Linked DNA regions of Canis lupus familiaris. The protein of the gene in region 3 binds, or shares a complex with, the protein of the main gene of each other region. Links are inferred from orthologs where the notes say so. Each region holds a gene or a part of one and is shown on either strand. Other genes may lie near its edges. The genes, in order: CRYBG1, PPME1 and PPP2R5C.

Region 1 (7,775 bases), on a different chromosome or scaffold from region 3:
CAAGGCTTGGTGGCCCGTGCACTTCCAGGCCCGTCCTGCCCGAGGCCCGCGGCGGGATGCCCCGCAAAGCTAACGCAGCTGCTCGTAGGTGTGACTCGGGAATCTCTCTAAACAGCTAATATTGTTTAAAAAAAAAAAAAAAAAAAAAAAAAAAAAAAAACCAAAAAACTGCCCTGAAGGCTCGCCCTCCTTTAGGAAAGGCGCCCACTGGGAGGTCTGCTTCCGTGGGGACGTTCGAGCGCCCCGCGCTTCGGGCGCGCCAGGTGCGGGCCGTTGGGCTCCAGGCTACGGAACAGGTGCACGTTTTCCCCCTTCCCGGACCCTTCCCACGGGGTGGGGGGGATGCTGCCGGGGCTCCCCCCTGAAGGCCTGCGGGACTGTGAGGCCCCCTCCGCCCCCGCCGAGGTCGCTCCGGGGCGCTGGGCGCCCCCCGGACCGGAGGGGAGGATGCCCCCCTGCCCCCAGGTACTCCCGGGTGTGCGCTCCTAGGACCTCCGCACGGGGTCGAGGCCTCTCGGGTGAGCCCCCCCCCCCCTCGCAGCAGCCGGATCGCGGGGGGCCGGGGGAGGGCATCGGGCGTCCCCGGAGCTTCTCCCATTGGGGGAGCGCAGGCCCGCCCAGGTGCTGGAGCCCTGGGTTTCTTAAGAGTTTTCATTTGCAGTTCTGTTGGACCCAGGTGGCTTCTTTTTGTTCTAGAAAAGACCACCGGAGCTTTTTACTCGTTTTCCTTTCTTCCTACAAAAAGAAAGGGCGGTTTTTTCAAAACAAAGCAAAACTCCCCTTTCTCTTTCTTTTTTTTTTTTTTTTAAACTCCCCTTTCAGATACTTTGGGGGCACCTGGGTGGCTCAGTCGGGCTGAGCGGCTGACTTGGGCTCAGGATCTGGGGGCCGGAGATGGGCCCAGTGTGGGGGCTCCGTGCTCAGCGGGGAGCCCGCTTGCCCCTCTCTGTCTCTGCCGCCCCCACCGCCCCCCTCACCCCCATGCCTTCTCTCTCTCTCTGTCTCTAAAATAAAATCTTTAAGATACTCTCGTGTATTTACTGCTACCGTGTAGTCACGCGTGGCTGTTTTGAAATTGCATCTTTATTGAAGGAGGCAAAAAGCAAAAGCTGGAGCAACCTGGGAACTGTTGAGTTTGTAGGCCTGAGTATTTGGACCTTCTGATTTTCCCTTTAAAACACAAGGATTCGGGCAGCCCGGGTGGCTCAGCAGTTTAGCATCACCTTCAGCCCAAGGCCTGATCCTGGGTACCCAGGATCGAGTCCCACATCGGGCTCCCTGCATGGAGCCTGCTTCTCTCTCTGCCTGTGTCTCTGCCTCTCTCTCTCTCTCTCTCTCTCTCTCTGTGTGTGTGTCTCTCATGAATAAATAAATAAAAATCTTTAAAATAATAAAACACAAGGATTCTAGTAGCAGGAAATGTTATCCCAAGTAGCGCCAAGCATAGACGGGGCTTAAGAAAAAATGTGACAATCCGAGTTTATTTTGTTGGAGTGCATGTAGCACATGCAAAAACCACAGGTCTCTACTTTTGCAGGTGGGCTGGTCGCTACCATTTTGGCTTGTCCTTCTGCCACGTGCTTACTCCTAAAGGGGGGGGGGGCGGTGGGAAACGCAGATTCTCATCGTTTCTCTCCCCCCCACCCCCAACCCCTTTTGTTTTCCAGTCCAGGGCGCAACCACCAGAGGAAAACAGACGCAAGCCGGTGTTGGGGAAGCTCGGCACCCTGTTCGCGGCCGGCCGGAGGAGGTCCGGCAGAAGCGGGGTGGAGAGCCCCTCCGGCTCCCACGCCAAAGCCGCGTCTCCCAAGGATGGGACCTCTTCCAAACCCCCGGAAAGAGAGAGTGACAAGAGCCAACCTCAGGGCAGCCAGCCGAAGCAAAGGGACCCGGGCGAGGAGGCTCCCCCGCAGGAGAGGCCCCCGGCGCGGGAGCCCGGGGGGCCCTCGGACAGCCGCGTGCGCGCTGCGCCCCCCGACGCCGGGCGGGCCCCGTGCGCCAGCGGACGCGGGGCGGCGGGGCCGCGGGGCCCGGGGCGTGATGCGCCCCAATTAGAGCCTCGGGAGGCAGAGGGAGGGTCCGTCCCAGGGGCCGCCAAGCAGCTGCCCTCCCCGCTCGAGAGTCCCTCCGGGCAGGGGCGCGCGGAGGCGCGGGCGGGCGGTCCCGGGGAGGGCGCCCCCCGCGGCGCTGGCGGCGAGCAGGAGGCCGCCCCGGGCGCCGGGGCTGCGGCGGGGGCGCCCCCCGGGTGTGCGGAGGCGGGCGGGGGCCCCGGGGCGGCGGCGGGGGCGGCGGCGGACGGCGGAGCGGGGCCCCGGCGCGGCCCCGGAGAGCGCGCGCGGCCCGCGGCGCTGACCCTGGTCGTCTCCCCGGGCGCGGGCGAGGGCGAGGGCGCGGGCGCGGGCGAGGGCGAGGGCGAGGGCGCGGCCCCCGGGCCGGAGGACTGCGGCGACCCCGACGACATGGAGAGGAGGTCGTGCGGCCGCCGGGCCGGCAGGCGGCGGAGGTCGCAGAGGTCCGCCGAGTCCCCGGGGCCCGACGCGGCGCCGCCCGACAGCGCGGGCGGGGACGGCCCGGGGAGCGGCTGCGAGCGGGCGCCCGACGCGGCGGGGAGCGGGGACTCCCCGGCGGGCCCCGACCCGGGCGTTGCCGCGGCGGCGGGCGCGGAGGCCAAGGCCGGCCCCGGGGCCAGGGGGCAGCCCCGCGGGGAGGCGGAGCGCGGCCCGGCGCCCCCCCCGCCGCCGCCCGCCGCGTCCCCCGCCAAGAGGAGGGGCCGGAGCCGAGGCCCCGAGGCCGCGCCCGCCGGGGAGCCCCCCGAGGACCGCGCGGACGGGGCGGCCCGGGGCGGGCCCCGCGAGCTCACGGTCAAGAGCGCGACGCTGCTGCCCGAGATCAGGCCCGAGCACAAGAGGGGCCTGGCCCCGGGCCACCCCGACGGCCGAGGCAGAGAGCCGGGCCGGCCGGCCGCTGCTCCCGACGCCGACGGAGGGAGGCCCAGGAACCATCTCGGCGCCGGCAGGTCCACGGTGACCACGAAGGTGACCCTGTAAGTGGGGGCGGGGGGGCGGGGGCCGTCCTCAGGTGCGGGGGGGGCGGTGCGGGGGGGCTGGGGCTGTCCACAGCTGTGCAGGGGTCTGCTGGTGGAGCTCTGGCCGATGTGCAGGGGACGGGGGTCTGGGGGGCGCGGGGGTCTCTGCATTCGGGGCAGATGGGTCTGTGCACGAATTTTCCCCCTCCACATCGTAACTAAGACAGTGAAGCGCTGGTTAGCACAGGTTTAAGAAGAGGACACTTTGGGAAGCCCAGTCGGGTTGCTCATTCCTGTTCTGATAGAATATTCAGTTTGGTGGATGTAAAAATCTCCCGAGACTCAATGTTTACTCGATTGAAAGAAGACCCCTTAGCCTGATGTGAGCTAATTCTTTTTTTTTTTTTTTTTTTAAGATTTTATTTATTCATGAGAGACCCAGAGAGAGAGGCAGAGAGACAGGGGCAGAGGGAGAAGCAGGCTCCCCGCAGGGAGCGAGCCCGAGGCCAGACTCAATCCTGGGATCCGGTGATCACAACCTGAGCCAAAGGCCCATGCCCACCCCCTGGGCCACCCAGGTGCCTCCTGGGCTAGTTCTTTTATTCAAAATGCACCCCCGCATTCCTGGGTAGGGCATTCTGTGCTGCAAATTTGGAAACCGGGAGCAAACCGGCTTACGTTCAGTGTGACCCTGGAGCTTTGACACCTGTGAGTCTAAGAGAACTCACAGAACTTTTTCTGGAACTCAGTGTGGCTTAAACATCCCCCCCCCCCCACCCCCATTTCTCTCCTTAGAATGTTAGGGAAGTTAGTGATATTTTTGCTCCCAGGTTGAAAAGTAATTCTTAGTTATTGAAATGAAGAAAAAGCAGTGTCCTGGGGGGGGAGGGGTGTTGTTAAATGAAAGGATACCATGCGTTGGAAGAATCAAGCTCAACAGGCTGACTACCTACTGTTAAATTCATTGATTTTTTTTTTTCCAAATATTTATTGAGTGACTTCTGTGCATGGATGGTATTGGGCCAGGAGCTCTGAGGGGAAACTCGCAGTGTGACTCAGTGTTTTGTCCTTGAGGAGTTTCTGGCCCATTCTGGCTTGCCAGATGCAGACAGATGCTACAGGAGGTGATGGCCCAGGGAACTGCTCGCTGGGTTGTGAGCTGTAAAGGCTGGGGAAGCGCAAAGTAGGAGAAGTCAGTTGGCTTTTTGGAGGTGAGCTTGGGCTGGGGTGCTCAATGTGGTTTGGGAAGGTGGCTGGGGTAAGGAGGGGCCCCTGTAAAGCCCCAGACCCTCTCCCCTTCCCACAGGCTCACTGCCCCACCTCCCAGGGAGCGTCTGTGAAACATGAGCATCTAAACTGCCCAAGTCGAAAAAATAAAATAAAAATAGAAATATAAACTGCCCAAGTTGTTCCTACATTTATTCCTTATTGAAAGAGCCAGGATTTTCACAGCATTTTGATCTTTAAACCAAACGGTTTCATTCTATCTGAATTCTTGGAGAAGTAAGGCTCTAGAGTAGGAGGTCTGTTTGATAAACACGTGAGGGAGAACCTGCTTAATGAGTAATGTGAGCTACCTCACCAGCTGCCAATCTGGAGACCTTTGATAAAGTCAGCTATTTATTCTGTAACGGCTGTGTCAGAGGAGTAATCGGAGTGGGTGATGCCCATTATTTGTAGAAGGCCAGTGTGACTGCACACTCAGACCTACTAAGTGTGAGCTTAGAGAAATGTTACTGCGGAGCTGTTTAAGGACGCCCTTACCTGCCTTACCTGCCTTCCAATCGGAGAACGCCAGTGGAAAAACCAGAAATGTTGCAAGGAGTAGGGTAAACAGACCTGGGGAGCGATCCTGCAACGAAACTCTGCACGTCCTGTTTTCTGTGAACTAAACCACGTCTTCTTCTCTGTGCCCATCACTTTCTACCTAAAATTTCTCCTCGGCAAGGCATTTGGCTTGATTGTGCTTTCCACCAGGCCTCACGCTTGGTGAATTGGCAGTCTGTGGAAATGGGAAAACTAATTCCTTCTAGTCTTTTTCTGTTTGATGGATTTCCTTTCCGGTTTTTTTCCTCTGATGGTATTTTAAGAAGGAACGTTACCGATTATTTTTAAAAAGCAATTTGCATCTGAAGTTTTAGTGTAAATTATTTTGTATTCCCTGAAGAAGGACTGTGCAGCAGCAAGTTTCTCGATGCTGTTAGAAAAATTATGTCTTCAGTTCTGTTCCAGGTGTTGAATGTTGAGATTAGCAATGGTATGTTGAGAATAAGGAGAATTTTCCTCTCCTAGCCACAGCTTTTAAGACATCAGATGATTTTCCCTTCTCCATTATAATAAAGGCATTACACAAAGCATGAATTAGAGAAGCCTTCCTTTTAATCGGTATGAGCTAGGTTAATTGTAGTGACTCTTGGTAGCAGAACTTAATAGCACAGAAAGTTTGGTTGTAAAACATATTTTGATCTCGGCGTAAATCTTTAATGTGCAGATGTGTTTCCTGTCCTTAAGGTAGCTTGTTGGCTAACCTGTAGTGTTTTCCATTGACATCATAAGATATACTTTGATGTTTGACTGTTCCTTGAGCTGATTAGTGAGATTTTTTTTTTTTTTTTTTTTTTAAGATTTGATTTATTCATGAGAGACACAGAGAGAAAGGGAGGCAGAGACACAGGCAGAGGGAGAAGCAGGTTCCATGCAGGGAGCCTGATGCGGGACTCGATCCCGGGACCCTGGGATCACACCCTGGGTCGAAGGCAGACGCTAAACCCCTGAGCCGCCCAGGGATCCCCTGAGAATTTTTTAAAATGTGTATTTACTGGCATGTGAACATCTTTCATTAACTGATGGCATTTGTAAGCTCTCCATTTCGACTCCACTGGTTTTAGAATTCAGTCTTCAAGGTAGTGTGTGTATGTTAATTTTCCTTTTAAATTTAAGATATGGGCCCACCATGAGGGAGCCTAGCTATTTTGTGGAGCTATTGGAGAGAGCAGTGCCTAAGAGAAATTCATGAGAGTATATGAAATTTAGTATTTAAATCAAATTCCTAAAAATAAAAATCTAAGTTCCTAATGCTGTATTTTGGAAAGACTTCTCAAGTCTTTTCAGTGTTCTCATTTTATCCAGAAGGATAAGGTGTCTCACCCAAAGTCATATTGCCTGTTCCTTCAAAAAAGCCCCTCTTTCTTGAAAGCCAATGAATCCATGTGGAGGCAGCAGTGAGATTTCTGTGCTTCTCCACTTTTCATGATCAAAGTAGCCTCCAACGTTTGATCGCTTAATCTTACAGCTCTCACGATAACTCATTGACCTCTTGAATATATCAAGCTGGAAAGGACCAGATTTAGTCACTGAGGTCTGGGGAAGCAGAAGAGTAGAGTGGTCAGGAGCATAGCCTCCAAAACCACAACCCCTGGTTTCAAATCATGGCCCTGTCCCTCACTAGGTGTATGACTTCTGGCAAATTACCTGCCTTTCCTAGGCTTCAACTTCCTCGTTGTAAAAGAGAATGTTTAAACTAGTACATTAGGCAAGTACACTGTTTCTCAAGTGTGTGTCAATCAGTGATTCTTAGTGGTTATTATCTCCTCATTTTAGAAACCACTAGATGTATGGTTTAGACATTGTGTTGTGTTTAGCTTCAGAGCCCATTCTTCTAGGAAAGCTTAAAAGTGATATATACAATAGACAAGTAGAAGTGACTTTGGTCGAGAGGAGGGTGGCTGGCCCCAGCCCTCGGTCGCTCTTGGACCCTCGGTCACTGTTGGAGAGAACTCCCAAGAATTCCTTCGGCCATCACTTGGGAAAGGTGTGGTGGGGAGAGGATCATCTCTGTTCTAAACTATCGATTTGTTTGTTTTTTCTAGATAGGAAAGGTAGTGAGTCCAGTGAGTTAACTTGACCAAGCTCACACATTAGTGTAGGAGCCAGGACCAGAGCTGGCTAATGTCAAACAGAAAGAAAACAAAGATTTATGATTTCCAGTAGGCGGTAATAACCAAGAAATATTATAGCTTCTTTATAGAGCGAGGGGAGATGCCTTTTGCCCCCACCAGAAGGCAACAACACCAACAGTTGAGTAACTGATAAGTAAATTATGGTACATCCATATGATTAAACTTTTATGCAGACATTATGAAAAACTTCAAATTTTTAGTAACATGAAAATGTTAAAAATGTGAAAGATAAGATTAATTTATCTTTTTTTAAATATAAAATCTGAAACACTATGGAATGGAACAATTCCAATTTTGTTAAAAGTATTTTACCATGCATACAAAAAGAGTACACTAAAATGTTAACAGGGAGATTATTTGAGTGGTAGGAGTATGAGTGATTCTTCATTTTTATATTTTCCATATGATCTGTAGTGGACACACTTGTATAATCAGAGTAAAGTTATATGAAGGAAGATGAAGGGAATAAATATTCAAAGAGGTAAATAACAGATAAATATTTTTATAATCTAGCCTTTTGAAATAATGCTTAAAAATTATGATAAAATAAAAATACACAGCTGCTATTTGGGGAGATCATTTACATATTCAAAATAAAGGAGTACATCAAATATATAAATTCAACCTCATGTTCTTCAAGCCCTAAGCTGTCTTCTGAATTTAGTGTCAAGCACCGTGCTCACATATTAGGTACTCGATAAACTTGCTAACCTCCCACCTCTTGACTTTCTTAGCTATATAATTTTCTCATCCATCCTACAGAAGCAAAACCTCCATTAAAAATAGTTGAG
Region 2 (8,441 bases), on a different chromosome or scaffold from region 3:
AACATCATTCAGTCAATGAAGACAGACACTATCATCTTCAGATTCTGCCACATTTTACTACAGTACTGGGCTCATAATATTATTGGCTTTTATAGAGTTTGTTTTTTTTTTAAGATTTTATTTATTCATGAGAGACAGAGAGAAAGAGAGAGGCAGAGACCCAGGCAGAGAGAGAAGCAGGCTCCATGCAGGGAGCCCGATACAGGACTTAATCCCAGGTCTCCAGGATCATGCCCTGGGCCAAAGGCAGGCGCTAAACTGCTGAGCCATCCAGGGATCTCCAGCTTTTATAGCATTTATTGGATTTCAGACAGATAATAAATGTAAACTAGGCATTTAATCATGACTTTGTATAAAACTTTCCCTTAATGACCCTGTCTTCCATTCATAGTTAGATGAATTCATATATCTGAATAATACTCATATACATATGAAGATAACTATGAACCTTGTGATCTATGAAGATCTATGATCTTTGCATGATTCATAGTTATTTTCATATATATATCTATGAATTATTCACGCATAAAAGAATGAAATCTTGCCATTTGCAACAACATGGATTATATTAGCTAGAATATAATGCTAAGTGAAGTTAGAGAAAGACAAATACCACGATTTCACTCATGAAGAATTTAAGAAACAAAACAAATAAACAAAGGAGAAGGAAAAAGAGACAAACCAACAGACTCCTAACTACAGAGAACAAACTGATGGTTACAAGAGGAGAGGTGGGGGGAGGCATGGGTGAAATAAGTGATGGAGATTAAAGAGTACACTTATGATGAGCACTGAGTAATGTATACAATTATTGAATCACCATTCTGCACATCTGAAACTAAATAACACTGTATGTTAACTAGAGTGAAATTAAAAAAAAAGAAATCATTCCTATATTATACACACATTTCTATTCCTCTTTTTCCTTGGAGAATGGTCATGCCTAACAAGAAGAAAATATACTGGAGTATATCAGATCAGGAGATCTATATAAGTAAGTCTTTGGATTTCTAAAGCGAACAATTCTCTGCTCTCTAGTCGAAGATGACCCACCATAATCTTTATAGATAACTAGTTTGAATATAAAAATAATACATGGGTGTGTATATGAGCATTACTATGTGTGTGTGTGTATACACACACACACACACATGGTATAGCAAGAAAGACATTCTTATGTTATTTCTATTTTTATCTACCTCCTATCAACCAAATATACTTGGCTGGTTTGGCATAGGGAACACCAGTATTGAATATATCCATGCTTCTATTTCATATCCTCCCATCATTCCTGGCAGGAAAGGTACTGCCTCAAACTGCCTTATTATCTTTAAACAGTTTGGATAAGATTCATTCTCAGACTGTAGATTCAGTCCTTAATCCAATGGCCTAATGTACTATCACCATACCTAACACCACTTTACCTATAATGTAAAAAGCAAAGTCACACAATGTATGTTTGTTTGTAGGCAGCTCCACTGAGATTCAATTTCTAATTTCCTGATCAGTCCTGGGTTACTAGGGCGCCTGTTTCCTCCACAACTAACACTTCCCTGCTTTTCTGGTGTGCATATTTCTCCTTAAGCATACTATCCTGATAAGGTCCTCTTGCTACATACTCTTTCACCACCACTCCAACACTACCACACTTTGTCACTCCTCCCTCTTTCTTCCACAACTATCTTTCCCAACTCCTGCCTGTACCCCTTCATGCTTCAAGATTGCCTCATGTTGGACCCATTCAACCAACATTTACTGAGTCCTGCTTTGTGCTAGTTCTTGGGGATTCAGTAAAGTATAAAACATGATCTTCTCCTATTAGAATTGACATACCACCTCTCCAACATGTGTTGTTTTTTTTTTTTCCCAGTCCGTGTGGAACTCCAAAGGTATACTTTCCCAAACACAGACACATATTTACCTTTGTTATCAAAAGCACTCCTAACTCATGGGGATGTAATAGCACAGTGACTATAGGTAATAGTGTACTGCATATCTTAAAGTTGCTAAAAAAGTACATTTTGAGAGTTTTCATGACAAAAAAATTTCTTAGTAACGGTGATGGACGCTGACTAGACTCACTGCAGGTGATCATTTCCCAACATATACGAATATCCAATCATGTACAACCTGAAGCTAAGATAATGTGATATCAATTATAACTCACTTTCAAAAGGCTAAAAAATTCCTAGAATTTTTATTCCCTTTCTTTAGAAACGTTCTGCCTGTACCCTTTTAGTCCCTCACCTCGGCCCATTTATTCGCCCGTTTTGTCCCCCTACTTCGGCCTCTATTTCCTTTCCATTCGTGTGAGGGCGAAATGCCTTCTCTTTCGACCTTTTCATTCTTTGGTTATTTCCCTCTTTCTTCCCTTCTCCCTCCTTTTTCGCAGGCGCATGTGGAAGTCTCCCTAGAATTCTTTATACCTGGCTCCCCTAACTCCGCCTCGTTACTCTTTCCTCAACCTTTGGTCGCTCCAGTTACCTCTTTTCTTGCGGCCACGGACGCCCGCAGACCCCTGGCCTTTTCGTTGTTTCATGACGAGCCAGGGCTCTTCTTCACCACCTGAACTCTGGCTCCAGCACCTAAGCCGTCGCCTCCCGCCATCCCTTCCCAAGGCGCCTGCGTTCCCCGGCAACCGGAGCCGCCGGGCAGCTTGGGAAGCAGGAAGAAGCGGCTCTCCCTCCAACAGCCTGCGAGAAGCGGTAAAAAGGAAAGGCGCCAAGACGTCTTACTGCAAGAGACTACAACACCCAGGATGCTTTGCTACACTACCTCTGCGAGGTTGGCCGCTGTCGTGTGCAGCTGCGCAAGCGCAAAGGGATACGCCCTTTGAGGACTTCATTGCCCAGAGTGCATTGCCTGTAGGAGAGCCTGTCTTTCCGGCGAGGGTCGATGAGCTCTCCGCTTAGGGTCTAATAGATCCATAGACTCCGTTACCCAGCTTCCTTTGTGGAGGGCTGTTGCGCACTTCCGGTGGAAGAGCTGAGGAGAGGGGGTGGAGTTTACGGAGCCGGTGGGCGGTGGGCGGTGCTGCCGGTAGCTGGGTGCTGTCCAAAGGCACTGGGCGTCGCTAAGGGGAGTGAGCTGTGACCTGCTGGGCCGCACTTAGCGTGGGACGAAGCTTAGGCTACTGTTTGACTACCTGAGGCCTTCCCTTCATGTCGGCCCTCGAGAAGAGCATGCACCTCGGCCGCCTGCCGTCTCGCCCACCTCTACCCGGCAGCGGGGGCAGTCAGAGCGGAGCCAAGATGCGAATGGGGTACGTGACCCATACCCTTTTTCCCTAGAGGCCAGGCCCCGGCCATTGGAGAATGGTGTCTCTAGGCGTTTAGAGCGGCACGGCAAGGGAAGCCAAGGATGGGAGCGAATGTTAGCAGCGGCCTGGAGACGTTTCGATGGTGTTGAAGGCAGATTTGGGAACTAGGGGAGGCGCCAAGTCAATGGAAATTGGAGGACAAATAGTATTGAAGGGAGGAGGGAATGAGGCAAAGATTGAGGAAGCTGAGAGGATAATTTAAGAGATGTAGGAGGCACCTCCAGAAGAAGTGATGGAAGAGGTTTGAGGAAACGTAATAGAGTAAGGGAATATCTGTCAGGGAGGGTTGAGAGACATGGAGAATGAGAAAAGTTGAGGGAATTAGGGGAACAACTAGGAAAAGATTTGGGATAGTAAGATGACTGAAGCAACTAGATATTAGAAAAGCTGAAGGATGATAACACCTGAGGCAGAGTTGGAGAAGGAAAGTAAAATAGGGAGCAGAAGGTTCTAGAGAGAGTGCCTAGGGCCGTAAGAGGCCGATTCAGGGAGTGAGGGGGTGATTAGGAGATTAGATCTCTTAAGGGAGAACTGTGAAAGCTTGGAAACAGGGCCAAGGAAAGATGGAGAATATAACTAAATAGACTGTTATGGAAAGGAACGTGCTGAGAAATAAGGGTAGGGAGTAAGGGGAGGAGTGAAGAGGAGCTTAGAGAGTGACCATGAGCTCTAGAGATGGAGAAAAGATTGGGAACAGGGTTTAGGGAATGAAAGTGCTGCAGAGATAAGGTATGAGAAGCTTAAAGAGGAAATTTGGGCAGTTGATTTTTGCCAGGCAAGTAAGTCTGATGGAGAAGGTACATACTGGTTTGAGAAGATTCAGACTTAATGAAGCATTCAGAGTAGCCAGTTAAAACGTTTGGGGGAAAACCATTTACTGGGAAGGGAGGAGCTGTGTTGAAGAGATAGGTTTGGGAAATTTTATGTCATTGAATGGCTTGAGCCAGATTAGGAGTTACTCAGGTGTAAGAGAGGGTATCAATTGAACATAAGAGAGGTAATTACTGGAAAGCAGAGGAAATTGAGTAGGCAGTTGTTTTGTTTTTTAAAGATTTTATTTATTTACTCATGAAAGACACAGAGAGAGAGGCAAAGACATAGGCAGAGAGAAGCAGGCTCCATGCAGGGAGCCTGATGTGGGACTGGATCCAGGAACTCCAGGATCATGCCGTGGGCCGAAGGCAGATGCTCAACTTCTGAGCCACCCAGGTGTCCCGGCAGTTGGTTTTGTGAGGTATTTGTAGTATAAAATAATATTCTGGAGACTAGTGACTGTTAAGAGAGAAGGGGTAGAAAGAGTAGGTGTGAGGTAGTCAAGAGAGTGTGCTTGGGATTTTAGAGTTCGATTGATAGATATCCTTGGAATAAAGACTAGAGAAGAGAAACTTTCGTTTCTAAAGAAGTAGTACGTAGAAAAACTGATCAAAAAGGAGATGAGGACAGGAGATGCAGTACTATGAAAGAAGGTCTCTGGAATAAAGGGAAAGGAATATCCCATAAATTAAAACAGTGGGGTAGAGAGGTGTGAGAATTAATGGGTGGTGGTTGAAAAAACCAGGGGGAGGAAATTAAGAATTGGAAACCTGACTATGATACACAGTAGAAACATGAGAAAACCTTGACAGAAGATAGATAGTGGATGCACAATGGAAAGACGGTGGTAGAAGGCCTCATATAAGGTAAAACGGAGATTGTTTTGGCTTTAGAAGACAGAAAGTGAAGACTGTAACATGAATAAGGAGGATCTGGAAACTGATCCATGACAGATTATTTGGGAAAGTTAACCTGGAGTATAAAAATAAATGTAACATTTATCGTTGGTATGTGTCTTAGTTGTTGCCTTTCTTAGACTAAAATTCATCCTTTAGTATACCGGTACTCTTCTGTAAAAATACATAAAAATATTAGCTTTTTGATAACTATACTTGCTACAAGTAAATTAGAGTTCAGCTTCTCACTTTGTTAAAACTAGTTCTCTGAAGATGAACTGAAAAGAAAAACACTAAGAGAAAATACAGCAAAAAGCTGCTAATTAGAAAATTGTGTTAATTGTTGGTAATGTACTCTCTTTAAATAGATGCTTTTGTTAACTATTTATCCTAGAAAACAAAGTTCTTTAGAAAAATCCTTTATGATACTGCGAAGAGAAGGGCTTTGTTGGTGAATTTTATGTGCTTCCCAAGTGGCTTGTTTTCCTTTATTTTTCTTTCCTGTTTCCTTATTGGAATATAGGCAGGCCTCAGCTGAGTCTAAAGTTAGTGGTAATATTGACTCTCTCCCTGTCCTAGAAGGAACATGTATAAATGATCTCATTTTACTGTGTCACTGTATAGTTGAGAAAATAAATTCGAAGAATTTAATTCTGTATTCTGTAAGGTAAACTTAAGAGGCAAGGGACAATATTTTTTATTAATAAAAAAGTAAAACTCAGGGTACCTGGGTGGTTGGTTAAGTGACCAGCCTTGGTTTCAGCTCAGGTTGTGATCTCAGGGTCATAAGATGGAGTCCCAAGTTGGGCTCCAAGCTCAGTGTAGAATCTGCTTGAGATTCTTTCTCCCTCTGCCCCTCCCACTTGTGCTCTCTCTCTAAAATAAATCTTTAAAAAAGAGAGACAGAGAAGACAAACTCAAATCTTCTTCATACTAAGGCAGTAGGAGCTAAGTGGTTAGAGCCACTAAAGACTAAGACTTGGAGTCTCTAAGATCCATTTTGTTTTTCGGATTCATAGTTGTTATCCTGTTTTGAGTTGTATGTCTTAGTTCTTTACAAATACTCTAGGATTCAGTCTTTTTCCTCAGTCTTGATTTATGAAGTCTTACTTCTACCAATTTTAAAGCATCCTGCATCCTATTTTATTTCTTCTATTCATTCATTTGCATTTTCCTTATCTTTTTCCATTCCCCCATCTATTTCTTACTCTCAAGTTGGACCTGTGCCTTTGACAATCTTTTTATGACTTATTCTTTCAACTCTTTCAATTCATAATCTCTTACCTTTAATTTCACTAAACCTTATTTAGATGTGTTTCCATGTTCAGGGTGGTTTTGGGTTTATGATTTTTTGTGAGTGTCCATAATTTAGTTTTTCAAATTAGATATAGAAATTCCAGAGTATTGTTTGATAATGTAATAATAACAATTACTTTTTTTTTTCTAGATAGGTACTTTGTGCCAGCCATTGTAGTAGTAGCTTCATGTGTGTTACTTTATTATATTTGTTTGTATGTTACTTTAATCTGTTTACAACCTTGCGAGGTAGATATTTCTTTGCATTTATAAGTAAGGAAGTTCAGACTTGAGATTAAAAGTCACCCAACTGGTATGTGGGAGAACTAGAATTCAATTGATGTTTAGTCTCGAAACACCAACACTTTTTCTTAGGTAAGGCCTGAATTCCTGGTTTTATTGTTCCATGATGGATGCCAGTAGATGATGCCAAAAACCGTGGTTCTGAACTTTTTTATTAAAGATTTTGGAGCTGTTCTGGTTTGTGATCCCTACTTGTAACTGGTATCTTACCCTGTTAGAGTTGCCATAACAAAAATACCATAGGTTAGATGGCTTATAAACAGCAGAAATGTATTTCTCACATTTCTGGAGGCTGGGAAGTCCAAGATCAAGCCGCTGACAGATTCTGTGTTCAGTAGGGACTGCATGCTGGTCCAGAGATGGCAATCTTCTTGCTGGGTCCTCACACAGCAGGGGGAAGGAAGCTCTGTGCATCTCTTTTCTAAGGGCACTAATAACATCCTTGAAGGCTGCACTCTCATGACCTCATCATCTCCCATCGTCCCACTTCCAAATACCATCAAATTGGATGTTAGGATTGAACATGAATTTGGGGCTGGAGGAGGGGCACAAAGGTTCAGTCCACAGCACCGAGGTGTGCTTGAGAGGAGTGTGTTTTGAAAATCACTGCTTTAGTACATGCCATTACCATTAAAGAGACTATATAGATTATTAGAACCATTCATTTTCAATGTGTTTTTGGTTTATCAATGGTACTCCATTTCTGTAGTTATATCTTAACATTTCTCCAGTGCTTTAACTGAAAGATATATTGGTGCTTTTTTGTATTATTTTATGAGATTCCTTAGGGCAGGGATATTTTCTCTTAATGAGAAAACTCCAATGTTCTCTGACTTGCCTAAAAACCAGAATCATCAAATGGCAGAAACAGGATTCAAGCCCAGATTTCAGATTTTTAGTCCATTGTTGCTCTTGTTATACTTTGCTGTAGAAATTGTTTGAAGTGATACAGATCTAAAAAAAAAAAAAAAAAAAAGTAGTAGTATAGATCGGAGTTTGAAGCCCAGCTTGTGCATTTACTTTGGTTAAGTCATTTAACTCCTCAGTCTTTTTCTTTTTTTTTTTCCTTTTAATTTCTGCTTACTTTAGAGTTCTATGAGAATGAGATAATACATGCAAAGCACTTATACTTCCTGACACATAAGCTTTTAAGGAATGATAACTAGCAAATTATTTTATATAGAGAACTGTGAGAAAGGCTTATTCTTTATGAAGTAGAAGCTCTCCTTTGAATTTTTTGTAATGTCAGCTTTTTTCCCTGTAAGTTCTATATTACTCATATCTGATTAAATAGTCCTTCATTTAACTTCTTAATTTTATATTGGATATCAGGCCTTTTAAGAAGGCTTTAAGTAGCTATTCACACAAATGGAGAAATAAAGGACAAAGTAAAGTGACTTGCTCAAGCTCTATAAATCCCAGTATCTCTGTTGTTGTTACTTACTAGGTTTTTAAAAATTAAGAGTCACATACCATAGAATTCACCCTTTTATAGTATACAGTTCATTTAGTTTTGGTGTACTCAGGGTTGTATAGTCATTGTCACTAATTCTAGGACATTTTCATTATCCCATAAAGAAACTACCTACTTGCTGGCAGTTATTTCCCCCTCCCCGATTCCCTGAGAACCACTAATCTATTTTCTGTGTTCATGGATTTGCCTATGCTGGAGATTTCATATAAATGAAATCATATAGTCAGCAGCCTTTTGTGATTGACTTCTTTCACTTAGTATAATGTTTTCAAGATTCATCCACACTGTAACATGCTATCAATATATCATTCCTTTTTATTGCTGAATGATATTCCTTTGT
Region 3 (7,775 bases):
GACGTTATTGATGAGATGGACCGAACAGGTTGGAGTTATCTTTTCTTACGGATGGGGTCATGCCACGAATGTTGATGAGCGGGGTACTTCTCTCATGGTTTTTCTCCTTACCTCCTTTCTGCATGATATGAGTGGTGTGGAAGGTGGAGACCAAATCAACTACTAGATCCACGTAACATGTTTGGTTTTGATTGCACAGATCACGAATGATAGAGAAAAGATCGCTAAAACACAAAAGCGCCACCCTCCAGCACTGGGCGCTCAGTGAGAACAAACTAAATTATGTGCAATCACTTTTAAATAATTTAAATATTTTCGTTACTCTATTGAGGTTCTTCATGATTTGTGATTCTGTGATCTGAACAAAACCTATATTTTGACGAACAAAACCTCACTTTATGTAGAGCTTTAATTTTAGGCCTAAAAGGCTATTTAAATTGTACCTGTTCTTTGCTGTTTAAATAATGTATAGAATGTTTTGATAAATACCGCTGCCACGTAATGATCTCGTTCAAAAGGAATCATGATACCAAGAAGCATGAACTAGGGAACACAACACGCAGGAAACGGGATGTCCTTCTCTGATCATATGTGGTGCCCAGTCCTGGGATGTGGGGGACTTGGAACAGGTTCAAAGGAACTGGCAGCTCTAACACTGGATGTCATATCAAGTGTGAAGATGAGAGAGAGGAGCAGATGCCCCGATGACTGCGGAGGGCAGGGTAGGGGACGCCGAGGATGAGAGGGACGGCTTCCAGAATCCCCAGAGGCTGCTGGTCTCCGTGGTGGGATCTTATTTCCCACACCCAAGTGTCTCCATCTGTCTCACCTCCCCTGTCTCCCTTGCTGGGTCATGATGCCTAAGAAGGGAACCACCTGGGCTCTGTGGTGCTCCTGGTGATCCTGCACGTCACTTTCCCTCCGGCTCTATGGCTAGCCTGGGCGAAACCCACCTGCTTTCTTACCTCACAAGGGGACCTGTTACTGCTAGGATTTTCACTACCTTAGCCATCCTGGAATCAGGGCCTTCAAGGGCAAGATGACCCAGGCAAGCCCAAATTCTTGGAATAAACTGCTCATAGCAAACTTTCCAGGGACAGATAAGAAACATTAAGTCTTTCATTCATCAACATTCTTTTGGTGCCACCACAGGTCAGGTGCAAAGCGGTCACTGGAAGTGTGATAAGGCCGCTAGCACAATGCCTGCCCCAGAGGGAGACCTGCCTGCCAAGCCAGGGAGGCTTTCTGGGGAGGGGGTGTGTCTAGAAGCCTGCGAGGATGTGGAGAAGGGCAGCTGGAAAGAATGTTCTGGGAGGCACTAGTGGGTAAGGAGCCTGGAGATGAGCAGAGACTCAAGTGAGAAGGCCTGCCCAGACCCACACACCCACACACGGCAGCGCCCAGGGGTGGGGCTCATCCATCCAAGCATGGCCAGTCACCCCGGGTGACTCAGACAGCAGCAGAACCGTGCAGATGTCAGCGGGTGGGTGGAAGGGTGTTCAGATCTTAAGAATCAATGAGAGGCGGTGGCCAGGACCGGGGGGCGGGGGCGCGGGCTTAAGGTGAATATTGCACTTGGAATGCCACAGAACATCCTCTCACGAGCCATGGGGCTGTGCCCTCTTCCACAGAAACCCAGACAGGGCAACTTCTGCACCCAGCTCCCCAGACGGACCAGTCTCTGCGGTCCTGCAGGCCTGGGACGCCAGGGTTTCCAGACCTCTAGTGTGGTTCTCCAGCCTGTGAGCATTTCTAAGGGTCCCCACTTTGCTCCCCACTCCTGCCTTCTCTCTGAGATGCTATTGGGGAGGATGAAGTAACCCGCAGGTGAAAGGAGTGACAGCTGGCTTTGGACAGGTTCTGGATGGCCCCACACCCAGGGTAACGGGACAGCTGGGTGAAAATGGAAACAGAGGAAGGACGTGTGCAGAGGTGCTGGGTTGGTGAGGGAGGGGAGCGAGCAAAGAGGGACTGAATGATGGGGTAGGGGGCACTGAGTAAGATCGCGATCATCATCATGCAAAGAGAGAAATGTCACCCACACGCTGACTTACCTATAAAATATATTATTTATCTGTTTTCTGATGTAAGCTCTTAAGCCTAAGAATTTTCCATAGATTCTGTGAAGGGTAGTTTTAAGAAAATCTCTCTCCCGAGGATCTTCACTGTCAAAGAGCTCTAAAAGCTTCAAGAAGAAAAAGACACTTAGTGGATCAGTATTCCTGCTCTGCAGATTAGGACTTTTGTAGCTTCAGCTAATTTGTACCTTACCTGCAATACAAACTTCTGATCAATATATTTCTTCGCTATATTAGGTTGGAAATCTGGAGACTCTAAAAATCTTAAGAAAAATTCATAAACAAGCTAGGAGGAAAAAAAAAACAATGAGTCAAATAATATGGTATTTTATTAGATGGAGACTAAAGGTACACCACGAGTTGAATCTCTGAAAATATTAGCCTTAAAAAAAAAAAGCTGCTTATCTACAGAATTAATACCAAATACCATGGCTTAATTTAATTATAATTGATGACGGTAATTGTTTTATTTAGCTCAGAACCACGGACTATGCCCTTAACTGGCATTTAAACGAAATGGTACCCATGGCTGGGGTCACTGGCACCTAACTGACGTGGCTGGGAGACGACAGTGAGGGGCGGGATCTGCAGCCCACCATGAGCACGTGTCCTGTCAGGGCCTGGGGGACAGGAAGCTGGGACTGCTCGGTGAGCGGGTCGCAGACAGTCACCCGGGGCTGGGATGCTCCTCCTCTTCATGAGTGGGCTATATGCTGTCACGGTTACACGGCAATCCCACATGCCTTGGGGGATGTTCTGTCCCCAAGACAGCCCCCCCTTTGTAATTGGATCCCCATCTAGCTCGTTCCCAGCTTTCACCTCTCTGTCTCCCCTCCTGTGGACGACCCAGGCCCCAAGGTGGTGCGTGGCTTGTGCACACTCTGCTCATGCTGAGCTCAGTGTCTTCTCAGGCATCCAGCCTGATCTATGAGCAATTTCTACTTTACGAATGTGTCAGAAAAAGGTGAGTCAGCAGGTGAGCCTTTGGGTGTGTTAAATCTAAGTGCTGAAAACTAGGGAAGCATCTATCTGCAAAAGGCCTCGATCTGATGGCTATCAACAAAGGGTCACTTTCATTACAAACATATTGACAATTCCAAATAGACAAAAAAACCCATTCATTGTTCTCACTTCTGCTAAAATACCTTTCTTATCTGCACAGGTTTGCAAGGTCAGCGGTCCACTTGCAATCAGCTGGAGTGAGGCCCTAGGGCCAGTTCACTCGCTTTAGAGAAAAAAACCCTGAGAATGCACACACTTAACTCACGCCCCTGTTGCTGGGGCACTCCCAGAGTTCAGTACCTGTAGATGAGGCCAGGCTGCTTCTAACGTGGGCTCGTCTTCCTCGGGGTCAAATTCTGCTCCCGTAGGATTGGAGGAAGGTGGTAACGTTCGAAACATGTTAACTGCAAACTAAAATCCACATATTCTTGAATTATAACCAGGACATTCAAGATATTTACAGAAAACATTGAAAAAAAAAAAAAAAAGACCATTTACAGAAATCATTTAAATTCTAACGACAGCTGCTCCCAGTGGTTATCTGGCTCGTCCTTATTCTGAAGATTCAGAAGCAGTGTGGATCCCCAACGAGAGTGGGTCAAAGCTGCAACAGGAAACCTGGCTTGTGGGACAGATGGCTACCGACACTCCTGCTCGACTCTGAGCTGCCAGATTCATGGACAACCAGCACCAACCAGTGCTGGGGGGGCAGCGGTGAGTTCACTGTGCCCAGTAAGCGCAGAGCAAGGAGGCGGGTGTAGTGCTGGGAAGAAAAGGATGGGCTTGAGCAGGAAGCAGCAGAGATTAAAGAACTGGTCTCCTGCCCCAGAAGTGCCTGCATTCAGCACCGAGAGAACCATCAGAGGGCAGCCGGCCGTGTGCCCAGGGCGGGACGCTCATGGCCTTAGTCTCTCTGGACTCACAAGGAAATGACTTTGGAAGAGATTTCTTGAGAATGTGAATGACCTCCTCGTACAACTTGCTACCTGCCTTTCTTTTATATTGTCCTTCACCACCTTCTCCCACTCCACGCTCTGTTTATTTCCAACTTAATAAAAGTCAGTGTTTTATAGGTGTTTCTACATAAAACCTAGAATTCTCTGGAGCACAGGTATACTTTAATGTCCACATGGTTAATTTTTTTTTCTTACGTGGTTAAATTCTAAATAAAGCATAACATATACTGATAAATTTGTGATATAAATGTTTAGTTTTTGTTTATCATCCATTTATAACTTATTCTTCTTTTGTAGTAAGTTTAAATGTGATAGCTACCTTACGGAAGCTCTGTACCTGCTGTATGTGGGTTACAGCCCTGGGCTCTGCTGACTGGCTCTCACAGATAATCAAAGCAAGGCCTCCGCCCCCTCACCCCCCAAAGCACAAAATCCAAACACCTGCCAGGCAAGGTAAGACCCAGCTCCATGACAACGAGTGGGAGGTAGCTGGGGACAGTCCAGGGCAAACCTGCTGCTCAGGTGACCAGTCTCGTAGAGACTGAGCTAAATCTCAAGGTCATCCGTTGTTTCTTCTGGTCTTGGCTGTTACTGACGGTGAACTCCGAGCCCCCTAACATCATGTTCCGGGAAGGAAAATGCTCCCATTTTACAGCATCAGCTATGAAAGCCCCGAGCCTCAAACATCTGTGGTCTGTGCTGTCCAAGAGGAGGAGTAGATGCAAGGAATCAGAACAGGAATGGAGGGTACCAGGGATCCCTGCATGGCTCAGTGGTTTAGCGCCTGCCTTCAGCCCAGGGTGTGATCCTGGAGACCCAGGATCGAGTCCCACGTCAGGCTCCCTGCATGGAGCCTGCTTCTCCCTCTGCCTGTGTCTCTGCCTCTCTCTGTGCGTCTCTCATGAATAAATAAAATCTTAAAAAAAAAAAAAAAAAAAAGGAATGGAAGGTACCGGAAAAAAAAAAAGGTAGGAAATCCAGAAACAAGTAAAAAAAAAAAAATCCTTTTGTAAAACCAAGAATAATACTCCAAAAACATACATAGAAAGAAACAAGGTCTGGAAGCTATGAACAGGGTCCTGGAAGAGGCCTCCCAAGTGACAGGTGACTAAGCGATGGAGGTGACAGGTGCTACGAGGTACGGGAGGCACGTCCTGTCACTGGCCCCCGGGGGACGGGGCAGCAGGGGCTCTCCTGACACTCTGATCCCAAAGCCCACGGAAGAGAACAAGGAGACAGCAGGAGCTCCCTCGCCAAGGAAAGGCCACAGGCGGGTGAGGGGCAGCAGGCCGCCCCGTCACCCCGGGCGCTCAGCCCTCCCTCCGGGGCTAGGGAAGTGCGGAGTGGAGTCAGATGGAGCCTGGGGCCCGCGTGGGCGTGTGGCCTTCCTGCGCTGGGTTTTCTACCCTTTCCCTCAAAGCCAAATGGCTGGGGGCGTCAAGACAGTCACCCAGAGACGGGGGGTGCCTTGAAGACAGCCAGGGGGACGCATGCTACGCCTGCCTCTCCCAGAGACTGAGGCCCACCCGGGAAGGAAGCATGCATGCAGGTGGCGGCTGCCCCCCGGCAGGTCCCTCACTGGCCAGGCAGCCCTCGGGGATTGACGCGTTACACCAGGTGGGGCAGCCGTCCCCACGGAGACTACGCAGGGGCAGGGAAGCAAGGTCTTAGGGGTCATGGCTTGCCCAGGAGCGCCCCGTTATCGAGCACTCATCTGAGCATCACTCGGGAAGGTATTTGTAGCCGTGGTCAGCATCTGCCATCGGCTGGCTTTAGGCACAGGAGAGTACCCGGAGGACGTGGGTGGCCTCATCCACTCAGCTGGAAAGTCAGAAGAGCAGAACTGTGGTTTCTCCCCCAAGGAGGAAGAAAATCCCCCTGTGGGGGCAGCCTCAGCTCCTGCCCCAGGGAGTTCCTGGAAATCATCTCTCAGGCTGTCTCTGTTTCTCTTACTGGTCATTTCTCTGACTGAACTCTGACACATCTGCTTAGTTAAGATTCTTAGTAAACTGGTTAGAGTCGACCAGTAGTGAAGCTACTGTCCCAGCTTCAAGCTGGAGCCCAGACCGCAGTGTGGGGTCACCTACGGCCCGTCCCCAGTGCCTGCATGGGCACCAAATCCCAGCAGCTCCCGAGTTGGGAGTCTGCAGGGGAGCTGGACCGCCTTGCTTTTAAGGCAATAAACCTCTTTTCAGCATCCTTGAAGGACCCCTCAGACCCAGGAAGTCTTCTCTTAGCCACCTCGGATTGATACGAAGTCATCCCTTTCACATGACAAAATAATCTCACGCTGGAGCTTCTACTCACCTTTCCTACCACAGTACATTGCATTGATTCAATGCTCGTCTCTGGAAATAACTGTATAAAACTAACATTTGGAAAAGAGAGCAGAAGGCAAATGGCATGCCATCTCAAATTATTTTTGGGTTGCAGTAATTCTGAGCGCAAGAGCTTCAGAGTCAGGCCAGCTGAGCACTGTCAGGAGGGGCTGCCAAGCTGTGCGGCCACAAGCACCACGGAAGGTGGTCATTGTCATCCTCGGGCCACAGAAACCGAGGGAACTTTGTTTGTACCATAGGTCGGATGGATCAAATGGACCCATTATACCCTCTCAGCTCACACATGCTGAGCTCTGCGCACCCTGCGGTGTGGACACGGCCAGGATCAGGCTACGTGGCCAGGGCGGCAGGGCTGGGTGGGGACAGGCTCCCGGCACTCTTCCTCCCCAGAAGCAGGAACTGTGCAACAAAAAAACCTGCCCACGCCTTGGAGAAAGAGGGTGAATCTTCTCCCTGCTTTGGGCCTGTGTGGTTACCATGCACACGGGTGTGCACGTACGTGATGCACACGGCCGTGCGGGGCGTGGACGGACTCTGTAATATTAGGAAGCACCTGCTTTCACAGCTTGCTCCACACTCCTACTTTCAGTACTTAAAATCAGCCGCGCAGATGCTCCTCTCCGGAGTGCTAAATTTACTGAATTAGATGCAAACCACACCGGCTTGAGAAGCAAGCAACCTTGTGGGAAATTCCTGCAATTCAGCAGTATCATGAAGCCTTTCTGTGTCTGTGACATTCACGTCCAGAGCGGGGAAGTAATAAGACATTCACGCCATGAGGGAACTGCACTATGGCAGAACATAGAAAGGTTTAGGATATGAAGGGACACCACACAAAAGAACACTGATAGTCTAATTTCAGAGACAATGAGTCAGGGAAGGTTGGTCATTCAGTTCTTCCTCTAAATCACAAAGGTTATTCCACTACTTGATATATTCTGTGTTATTCACACGAACAGGATTTATAAAGGTGAGTCCACCAAGGGCCAAATCTCAGTTCCTCCAGAGGCTCTTCCTCCCACAGACAGAAACACTAAGTTCTCAGAGTCACAAGAGATAACACTTTGGGGCTGGCAGGGGTGGGGGAAGTGGGGAGGGAGTCCATCAACATTATTACTTTTTTTTTTTTAACAGAAAACCATATTTGTTTGTAAATGTTACAGCGTATCTGGAAAAACCAACAGAGACAATAGTAGACCATTGCAGTTGGGCTATGGTACAGAATCCAAAAATATATATACAAAACAAACAGCAATGTAATTAGGGAACACGATTAATGGGAGGAGCCCAGGGACACAGTCCCAGAAGTGACTGAGGGCCCACTGCTCAGTTACAAGGCCCCAGTGGGGGAACACAAAAACCCTAATAAAGGGCACGCTAGCTTACATGAGTGAACAGAG

What was found.
Region 1: the proteins of PPP2R5C (region 3) and CRYBG1 are in contact, whole or in part, in a crystal structure (PDB 6VRO), measured with the Homo sapiens proteins. The link is inferred for Canis lupus familiaris from reciprocal best matches to the Homo sapiens genes PPP2R5C and CRYBG1. Residues at the interface, in NP_002710.2 of Homo sapiens: Lys183, Thr184, His187, Tyr190, Gly191, Leu194, Arg197, Ala198, Arg201, Glu226, Ile227, Ser230, Ile231, Asn233, Gly234, Phe235, Ala236, Lys240, Glu242, His243, Pro265, Gln266, Tyr269; in NP_001358171.1 of Homo sapiens: Pro1136, Phe1138, Ala1139, Met1140, Pro1141, Pro1142, Ile1143, His1144, Glu1145, Asp1146, His1147, Glu1149.
Region 2: the proteins of PPP2R5C (region 3) and PPME1 are in contact, whole or in part, in a cryo-EM structure (PDB 7SOY), measured with the Homo sapiens proteins. The link is inferred for Canis lupus familiaris from reciprocal best matches to the Homo sapiens genes PPP2R5C and PPME1. Residues at the interface, in NP_002710.2 of Homo sapiens: Asp180, His187, Arg188, Tyr190, Gly191, Leu194, Arg197, Ser230, Ile231, Gly234, Phe235, Ala236, Lys240, His243, Asp313, Gln341, Tyr348, Glu353, Tyr354, Glu399; in NP_057231.1 of Homo sapiens: Arg37, Lys38, Arg39, Asn192, Lys217, Val251, Glu252, Gly253, Ile254, Ile255, Glu256, Glu257, Pro345, Gln346.

Annotation. Positions count from the first base shown.
Region 1 is NC_049233.1:64,196,157-64,203,931, forward strand, and holds part of CRYBG1 (beta/gamma crystallin domain-containing protein 1), read left to right. Parts: intron 1-1,667; coding exon 1,668-2,357; intron 2,358-2,438; coding exon 2,439-3,043; intron 3,044-7,775. UniProt on the Homo sapiens protein: May function as suppressor of malignant melanoma. It may exert its effects through interactions with the cytoskeleton.
Region 2 is NC_049242.1:24,236,424-24,244,864, reverse strand, and holds the start of PPME1 (protein phosphatase methylesterase 1), read left to right. Parts: upstream 1-2,961; 5' UTR 2,962-3,161; coding exon 3,162-3,262; intron 3,263-8,441. Other genes in the region: C2CD3 (C2 domain-containing protein 3), read right to left, coding at 2,776-2,845. UniProt on the Homo sapiens protein: Demethylates proteins that have been reversibly carboxymethylated. Demethylates PPP2CB (in vitro) and PPP2CA. Binding to PPP2CA displaces the manganese ion and inactivates the enzyme.
Region 3 is NC_049229.1:70,339,132-70,346,906, reverse strand, and holds part of PPP2R5C (serine/threonine-protein phosphatase 2A 56 kDa regulatory subunit gamma isoform), read right to left. Parts: intron 3,492-7,775; coding exon 3,381-3,491; intron 2,365-3,380; coding exon 2,272-2,364; intron 2,186-2,271; coding exon 2,055-2,185; intron 1-2,054.